Schizosaccharomyces pombe: one gene and its partner. The protein of the gene in region 1 binds, or shares a complex with, the protein of each later gene. Each region holds a gene or a part of one and is shown in the gene's direction. Other genes may lie near its edges.

Region 1 (3,965 bases):
GAAATAAGTTACTCAAGTCAAAATTATGATTAAGAATATTTCATTAATATTTTTTTTGGCAAAATGGAATTAGGTAGTTACACTTGGATTCTCTGATAAGGTTTCTTAGTTTGAATAAATGAAGATATACATCTGCTTTGCTCATAACGCAAATATCTGCTCTTTTTAAAACTTGTAATCTATAAAACCTTTACCATAAAATCTTGTAATTAACGATTGTTAATGTAAATAATTCAACGCTTGAATGCTAAACCAAACAAGTGAATAAAGGTGTAAATAATAACTCCACCGCCTACCGTAAATTTGGTCGCCAGAATAGACAGTTGACGATAAGTCAATTGAATGCGGTAGTCTGTAGACAAAAAGCGAGATAGGAAATATTTTAGCGAATCCAAAAAAGAGTGAAACGTATCGTAATTAATAGGAGGAAGAATTAAGGACGCAGAATTTTTGGGAAGGTTTTTATTGTCAATTTTCGGAGAAGTAAGCTCTAATGCTTGGCCGACAGCTTCACCTTTTTTATCAAGTTTCTCGGAAATCTTTTTCAGTTCATCATTTATTTCAAGTTCTCGTTCCTTGTCAATGTGATCCACAGCTTCACGAACCAACCGTTTCCTTTTCCTTGGTTCCAATATTAGTTGAACGACCACAAAAAGAACAACGTTAATTCCCATTAATCCCCATGTACCCCAGGTACTTGCTTGCCGGATTTTATCACTCCAAACTTGTTCTTCGTGGTATCTCGATAAAATCGAACGCACCAATCCATTTTGAGCTTCCTCTACCCGCCTTTCCGCTACATCCACATCTTCTTGAGCCTTAATTTCTTCTTCTTTGTTTGAATAATCATCACGGTATAGTTTAGTAAATCTTTCTAAATCAATAGTAGACCAGCTACTACGTCGTTGTAACAATTCGTTGACTTCACGTTGACTTGACGATCTTTTTTCAACCGCTTCAATATAACGCTTTCTTGCTTCAGCTGCAGATAATCTAAAATCACGGAGCTTTGTCTCCTGCTTTACAACCGCGTTCTTTAATGCCTCAATGGAGGAATAACCAGTTAATTCATTCAAGCGTTGACTCGCTTGGAGTATAGTCTGTTGAACTGATCCATTTCCTTTATTATAGATTTTGGGAAAGCGAGCAGCAAATCCCTTAATAGACTGAGAAAGTCGTTGCAACATACTTTCTTAATACTTATACATTACTGTTATATCCTTTCATGTCTTCATATAGTGAGTTAAACATAATGTACTGCTGCACCAGCCATAAAGCTGGTTTACGGAAATATTCATAAACAGCTTAGAATATGCTATTTATAGTTAGGTATCAGCAATACTATAATACGCTATAATACTTACGTTGCGTATCACTATATGTCACATGTCCTAATTAAATATCGTACTATGTATGATACGATATTGAGACTGATCTTAATGATAATCTATTAATATTTATATCATCTGAATACTATAAATAGAGCTACTGCTAAACCTCGTTCCTCAGTTCAGTTACAAGCTATACCAGTGATAGGTAACATTATAACCTTGTTAATACAATACCTACACTCAGTTGCTACTTATATTATCTGTGTATTGCGATATTATAGGTCACAAGGAAAACTCACCGCAGTTCTACGTATCATTAAAACGAATACGAAACTGCGTAGCTAACATTAGGATAAGCGAAACTCACGCTTGAGAGAATGTTGTAGATGTAAAAAGCATTTGAAATTTAAAAAGAAAAAACAAAAAAAAAAAAAATTACACTTCACTTTACAAGGCTTGGGCCACTTTTCTTAGGATTTATGGTAAAACGTACTGAGGATATCGTTTACCCCTTGCAGAAATATAGAATATCATTTCTTTTCTTTGATAAATATATGCTTTAAGTTAATTCAACCTCTACACTAATTTCGATTTTTAATCTGCAGCCCTTTAAAATAAAGAAGACTGTAAATTACTTTAAGAATTTCATTTTTTTGCATATAAAAGATAAAATATGACATTTATCATGACTCGAACAAACGACTGCTTGCTAATCACGGAATAAACAACAAACTTTATATCAGTGCTGGTAAGTTTCGTTACTTTAAATCCTAGAGTTGGATAGCTGTACAAAGCAAGCAATTTCAGCAATTCAAAAAGATTTGGACTATGGCTCAGAAAAAGCAGTTATACGTATTCAGTGACTTTGACGGTATGAAAAAATAATTTCAATAAAAACAGACAACTAACTTTTGGGGTCTAGGAACTATTACACTCCAGGATTCCAATGACTACTTAACTGGTAAGGTTGGGAATAGGAAGATTGTTACAGATATAAAAAGATGTATAAAGGTAGTTAGAAAATGTTCTTACAATTAAGCTTAACTGAATATTTATTGAAGATTTACGAAAATCTGTAAGAGAAATCTATGATTTTATAACATTGGGTCAAAAATTTCCCTGCCCACCTTGAATGCTTTATTACTGCAACACTCGACGGCGACGGTTTACTAACTATGTTTTAGACAACTTTGGAATGGGCAACGCCAACCGTGTGAATCTAAATCAACAAGTTCTTGACGGTTCCATTTCTTTTCGGTAAGCGTTTGACGCGTAAATCAACTCTTAACAATTCATAGTGATGCTTTCGCGAAGATGTTGGATTCAGTGCATTTAAGCTATGATGAAGCTTTGGAGGTTCTCAAGAAGAATGTCGCCATTGATCCATCATTTAAACCATTCTATGAATGGTGTAAGTCTCAAGACATTCGTGTAATCATCCTTTCAAGTGGTATGGAGCCTTTTATTCGTGCACTTTTTGAGCAATACCTTGGCAAAGAAGAAGCAAGTAGTATTGAAATTGTTTCTAATGACATCAATGTGCATCCTGATGGTCAATGGAACATTGTGTATCATGATGACAGTCATTTTGGACACGACAAAAGCCTTACTATCCGTCCGTATGCTCAATTGCCAGAAAGTAAACGTCCTCACATGGTCTATTGCGGAGATGGTGTTTCCGATTTGAGTGCTGCGAAGGAAACAGAACACTTGTTTGCCAAGAAAGGACGTGATTTAATTAAATATTGTGAAAGGGAGAAAATTTCTTTCTCTGAATTCGAAACCTTTGCTGATATCCATAAAGATTTGCAAAAATTATTCTTTAGCAGTTAAATCTGAATAATACCTAAGAAGTTTTCGTACTTCAACATTTTTATACCTAAAGTTGATAGATATTTGTTATCAGCGCCTCGAAACTTAGTTTCAAGCAGGTCCTCATAGCAATTTAAATGCATCATTCACCAACGGTTCGATTAGTTTGGGTTGTTAGAAGCAATGATTTAACATAATTTGTATTTATATACTCATCCATTTGCGAGTCTTGTATGAAAAATCCTATATCATATCAGTCCGTAAGTGGTCGCATTGCTACAATATCTCTTTATTTTTTTTAAGAAAGAAAATAAAGAGATATTAAATTTTGCGTCTTTTGGTCGTGAGATCGCCGAAATAAGGTAGCGAGTATAACATAATGTAGATCACGCATATTGTTATATTTTGGTTTGGTAAAGTTACTCAAAGTCAGGAAACTTGTAATGATGTTTTAAGGGGCTTGCAGAAAAAATTGCTATTACGAAATCCATGTCTGTAATATTTTGGTTATTAATAAATTGAAATAAAATTTAAAACATGAAATATTGTGACTTTATGTATCCTGTCTACTACCATACCTTTCAACCTTCATACAAATTTTCCCGTACTCGCATCATTTTCTTTCTTCACCTAACTCCCCACCGTGTCTGTAAAACATAATATTTCTCTTTCCCACATACGAACGAATAAATAATAAAATACAGTATATGTACAGTAAACGTACCTCAGACACCATTATTTTGTCAAGAAAGTGAATAAGCTTACAATACCCCCGTCATCCAGTGAATTCGTAAGTGGGAAGTTGAAAAACGCATGCTCAAC
Region 2 (3,600 bases), 240 kb from region 1:
GAACTAGAGAGTTTAAAAACTGAAAAGCATGTTTTCGAAGTCGCGAATAAAGAAAAACATCCGTTCTTGCTGAATCTTTTTGCAAGCTTTCAAACTAGTACCAGGGTTTACTTCGTTATGGAATATATTCTTGGTGGTGACCTTATGGTTCATATTCAACGTCAACAGTTTAGCGTGAAACGTGCAAGGTAGTACTTCAATCTTTATTTTTATTTTTATTTTTATTTTTTATTAACCCCATAGATTTTATGGTGCTGAGGTTTGTTTAGCATTGAAGTATTTTCATGAGAATGGAATTGCTTACCGTGATTTGAAATTGGATAATATTCTACTTTGTCCTGATGGTCATATACGAATTGCTGATTATGGACTCTGCAAAGAAAATATGTTGCTTGGCAATACAACTTCCACCTTTTGTGGTACCCCCGAATTCATGGCTCCAGAAGTAAGGCGGAACTTGTTTTGGTTTATTTTATCTAACGAAAATAGATTTTATTAGAACAGCAATATTCCAAGGATGTTGATTGGTGGGCTTTTGGCGTTTTGATGTATCAAATGTTACTGGGTCAATCCCCTTTCAAAGGTGAAGATGAAGAGGAAATATTCGATGCGATTTTAAGCGATGAACCGTTGTTTCCGATTAATATGCCAGCGGATGCGGTTTCGTTATTGAGAGGGGTATGCAAATTTCTAAATATGTTAACTAATTCAAAAAATAGCTTTTAACAAGAGATCCAAATCAACGACTTGGTAGTGGACCAAAAGACGCAAACGAGGTTATGGCTCATCCTTTCTTTGCTAGTATTGTCTGGGATGACTTGTATAACAAACTTTATGAACCATCATATAAACCGCTTATCAACGATCCCCGAGACCTCAATAATTTTGATGAAGAATTTACAAGTATGACAATTGTTAAAATATGGTTAATTACTAACGATCGATTAGGTGCATGTCCAACTTTGACACCTGTCAATACTGTTCTCACACGACAACAACAAGAGTGTTTCAGAGGATTTTCCAGTTTTGCTACTGAATAGAATTAGCTTGTCCTTTGCTTCTGCTTTTTTAAAATTAGAAAATTATGGTAACAATTTCATATAGTTCTGATGCTGCTTCCTTTGCATTCTTACACTTAATTTAGTGTACTCACCCTTTACATGATATTTTTTTTACTTTTCTACGTGTTCATATTTAAAAAATTTCTGCATTTATCATCATTACATTACTTGAAAATAAAGTCGAAATTAGAGAATAATTAAAGTGGCATTAAAACTACTAATGTAAAACTTATCGTTGAATCACCCAAGGTGACTTTGTAGTATTTATACGCAACGTTTGTAATGGCATTCAATCAAAAAGCTAACAGTGAAGTTATGAATGGTTACTGTTTCAGAATACAAAAGTAAAAAATATGAGTAGTTTTTTATTTAACAAGAGTGAAAGGGTTATCTTTGCAGAGATCGGATGGAGGTGGAAGTAAAGCAAGAACTAAGAAGAGAATGAGGGCACTACCACCAACTCAATTATATTGACCAAAGGATTAAATGGGGCCATTAGGAAAACTATGAACGATCTGTAAATATAAACAATCTTTTTTTTTTATGTATAATGCCGGCGACTATTTTGAAATCCACAGCCAGTTCAAAGACTTTGTTAATAATAAAGTTTGATACAAACTCCTCCAGATATCCATTTTATAAGAAACATTTATTAGAGTTAAATTCGGAAAGTACTTTTTTGGGTCTATTAACTAAAGGGCAAGCTGACACATCGATTACGAGACTCAACCAAGACGATGTGAGGCTGTTTGAAAAAGCAAAGACAGTAGCAGATAGGACAAAGGATGTGGCTTATTCATTTTCCGATCCTATTTTATCTACACAGTTGCGAACGCCTCCACCACAACCAACCTCCATTCGATACCTCTATTTTGGTACTTACCGGATAAAACCATGGTATACATCACCGTATCCAGAGGAGTATAGCTGTGCAAAAAATTTATATATATGCGAATCTTGTTTAAAGTATATGAACAGTGATCATGTACTACAAAGGCACAAGGTAAACAACTTTTCAAGTAAGATCATAATGTTATTCGCTATTGCTTGAGTTTAAACGAGGTGTACATTAAAAGATCATAATCTATCCAAATTGAATTTACGGACTAACATAATCAGATGAAATGCTCATGGAGTTATCCACCAGGAGATGAAATATATCGGGATAAGAATATATCAATTTTTGAAGTTGATGGTCAACGGCAACCGGTAAGTAATTTTTTATGCATTTTATACTTATTGATGTTTTTCCTTAGATATATTGTCAAAATTTATGTCTTCTAGCAAAGATGTTTCTTCATTCAAAAATGCTGTACTATGACGTTGAACCGTTTCTTTTCTATGTATTGACTGAATTTGATGGCCAAGAATGCAAAGTTATTGGATATTTCAGTAAAGAGAAACGCTCGGCTTCTGATTATAACGTTTCCTGTATATTAACATTACCCATTTACCAACGCCGAGGATATGGTGTCTTTTTGATTGATTTTAGTTATTTACTTACACAGGTAGAAGGTAAGCTTGGATCACCTGAAAAGCCACTTTCAGATTTAGGCCTCGTTACGTACCGAAGCTATTGGAAAATGAGAGTAGCCAAAGCTCTATTGGAAATCACAACACCGATTAGCATAAATGCTATCGCCAAATCAACATCTATGGTATGCGACGATGTTATATCCACATTGGAATCGTTATCTGTATTTAAGTATGATCCGCTCAAAAAGAAATATGTATTACAACTGAAACGGGATGAACTTGAGAATGTTTATAAAGCTTGGAATATCAAACACCCTCAAAGAGTAAATCCAAAACTTCTAAGATGGACGCCATATCTCGGAGAAGAGCAGATATCTAACCTTTTACTTAAAGAAAATATACTTATTCCTCTACCTCAAAAGCGTCTATTAGATAACTCTCATCATCTGGATTCCGTTTAGTTCAAATAAATAAGTATTTTAATCTTTCGATATTTGTCGTGAAGCATTTGTATCATCTACGGCTTGGTTGTTGCTCTATATTAATGACGCCATTTAATGCAGTAGACAACTCTAGGGAAAATAAGTTGATGGTTGAATTGATAGACTCACAACCTAAAGCACAATCTTGAAGTTGGCTCTTAATGTTTTGCAATTCGATTTCTTCTTCAGCAAGGTTTTCCACACTGCTTATGATAGCTCCATCAAACGAAAATTCTGTTTGTTTCAATACATCTTTTATAGTTGTACCTTCATTCCACTTCAAAGTGGAAAGACGAGAAATGCTTTGCTCCGGAATGTTTTTGAGGTTGATTTTTGAGTTAAGATCGTAAACTTTTTCAACAGAAGCTTGGTGCGGTTTAGTCGGAATGGAAGTAACAAGAGTTTTCTTGGCTTTTGGCTTGGAAGTGGTTTTTCTATTTTCAAAGCGCAAACTTTCAAAAAGGGGAAGAAGTTCATTTCCTATAGAAGGCTCGTCGTTTGGTGGTTCGATTTGTTTACCAGTCGAAGGAGTTGCCCGAACAGTTGGCTGACGGGACGGGTGCTTTGGAGGTAATTTAGGA

Evidence for each region. Proteins that work in one complex are often made in the same cells at the same time.
Region 2: ptf1 (region 1) and mst2 share a complex: the UniProt entries of both Schizosaccharomyces pombe proteins name them as parts of the mst2 complex.

What each region holds. Positions count from the first base shown.
Region 1 is NC_003424.3:2,604,026-2,607,990, forward strand, and holds ptf1 (phosphoric monoester hydrolase), read left to right. Parts: upstream 1-2,126; 5' UTR 2,127-2,159; coding exon 2,160-2,202; exon of another isoform or gene 2,203-2,253; coding exon 2,254-2,292; intron 2,293-2,348; exon of another isoform or gene 2,349-2,515; coding exon 2,516-2,588; exon of another isoform or gene 2,589-2,629; coding exon 2,630-3,164; 3' UTR 3,165-3,389; downstream 3,390-3,965. Other genes in the region: protein She9, read right to left, coding at 234-1,187. UniProt on the Schizosaccharomyces pombe protein: Component of the mst2 complex which is a highly specific H3 lysine 14 (H3K14) acetyltransferase that functions together with gcn5 to regulate global levels of H3K14 acetylation (H3K14ac), critical for DNA damage checkpoint activation.
Region 2 is NC_003424.3:2,364,845-2,368,444, reverse strand, and holds the start of mst2 (histone acetyltransferase Mst2), read left to right. Parts: upstream 1-1,510; 5' UTR 1,511-1,611; coding exon 1,612-2,064; exon of another isoform or gene 2,065-2,180; coding exon 2,181-2,270; exon of another isoform or gene 2,271-2,317; coding exon 2,318-2,998; 3' UTR 2,999-3,050; coding exon of another isoform or gene 3,051-3,600. Other genes in the region: protein kinase C (PKC)-like Pck1, read left to right, coding at 1-188, 244-445, 490-678, 720-903, 949-1,040; exocyst complex subunit Sec3, read right to left, coding at 3,051-3,600. UniProt on the Schizosaccharomyces pombe protein: Component of the mst2 complex which is a highly specific H3 lysine 14 (H3K14) acetyltransferase that functions together with gcn5 to regulate global levels of H3K14 acetylation (H3K14ac), critical for DNA damage checkpoint activation.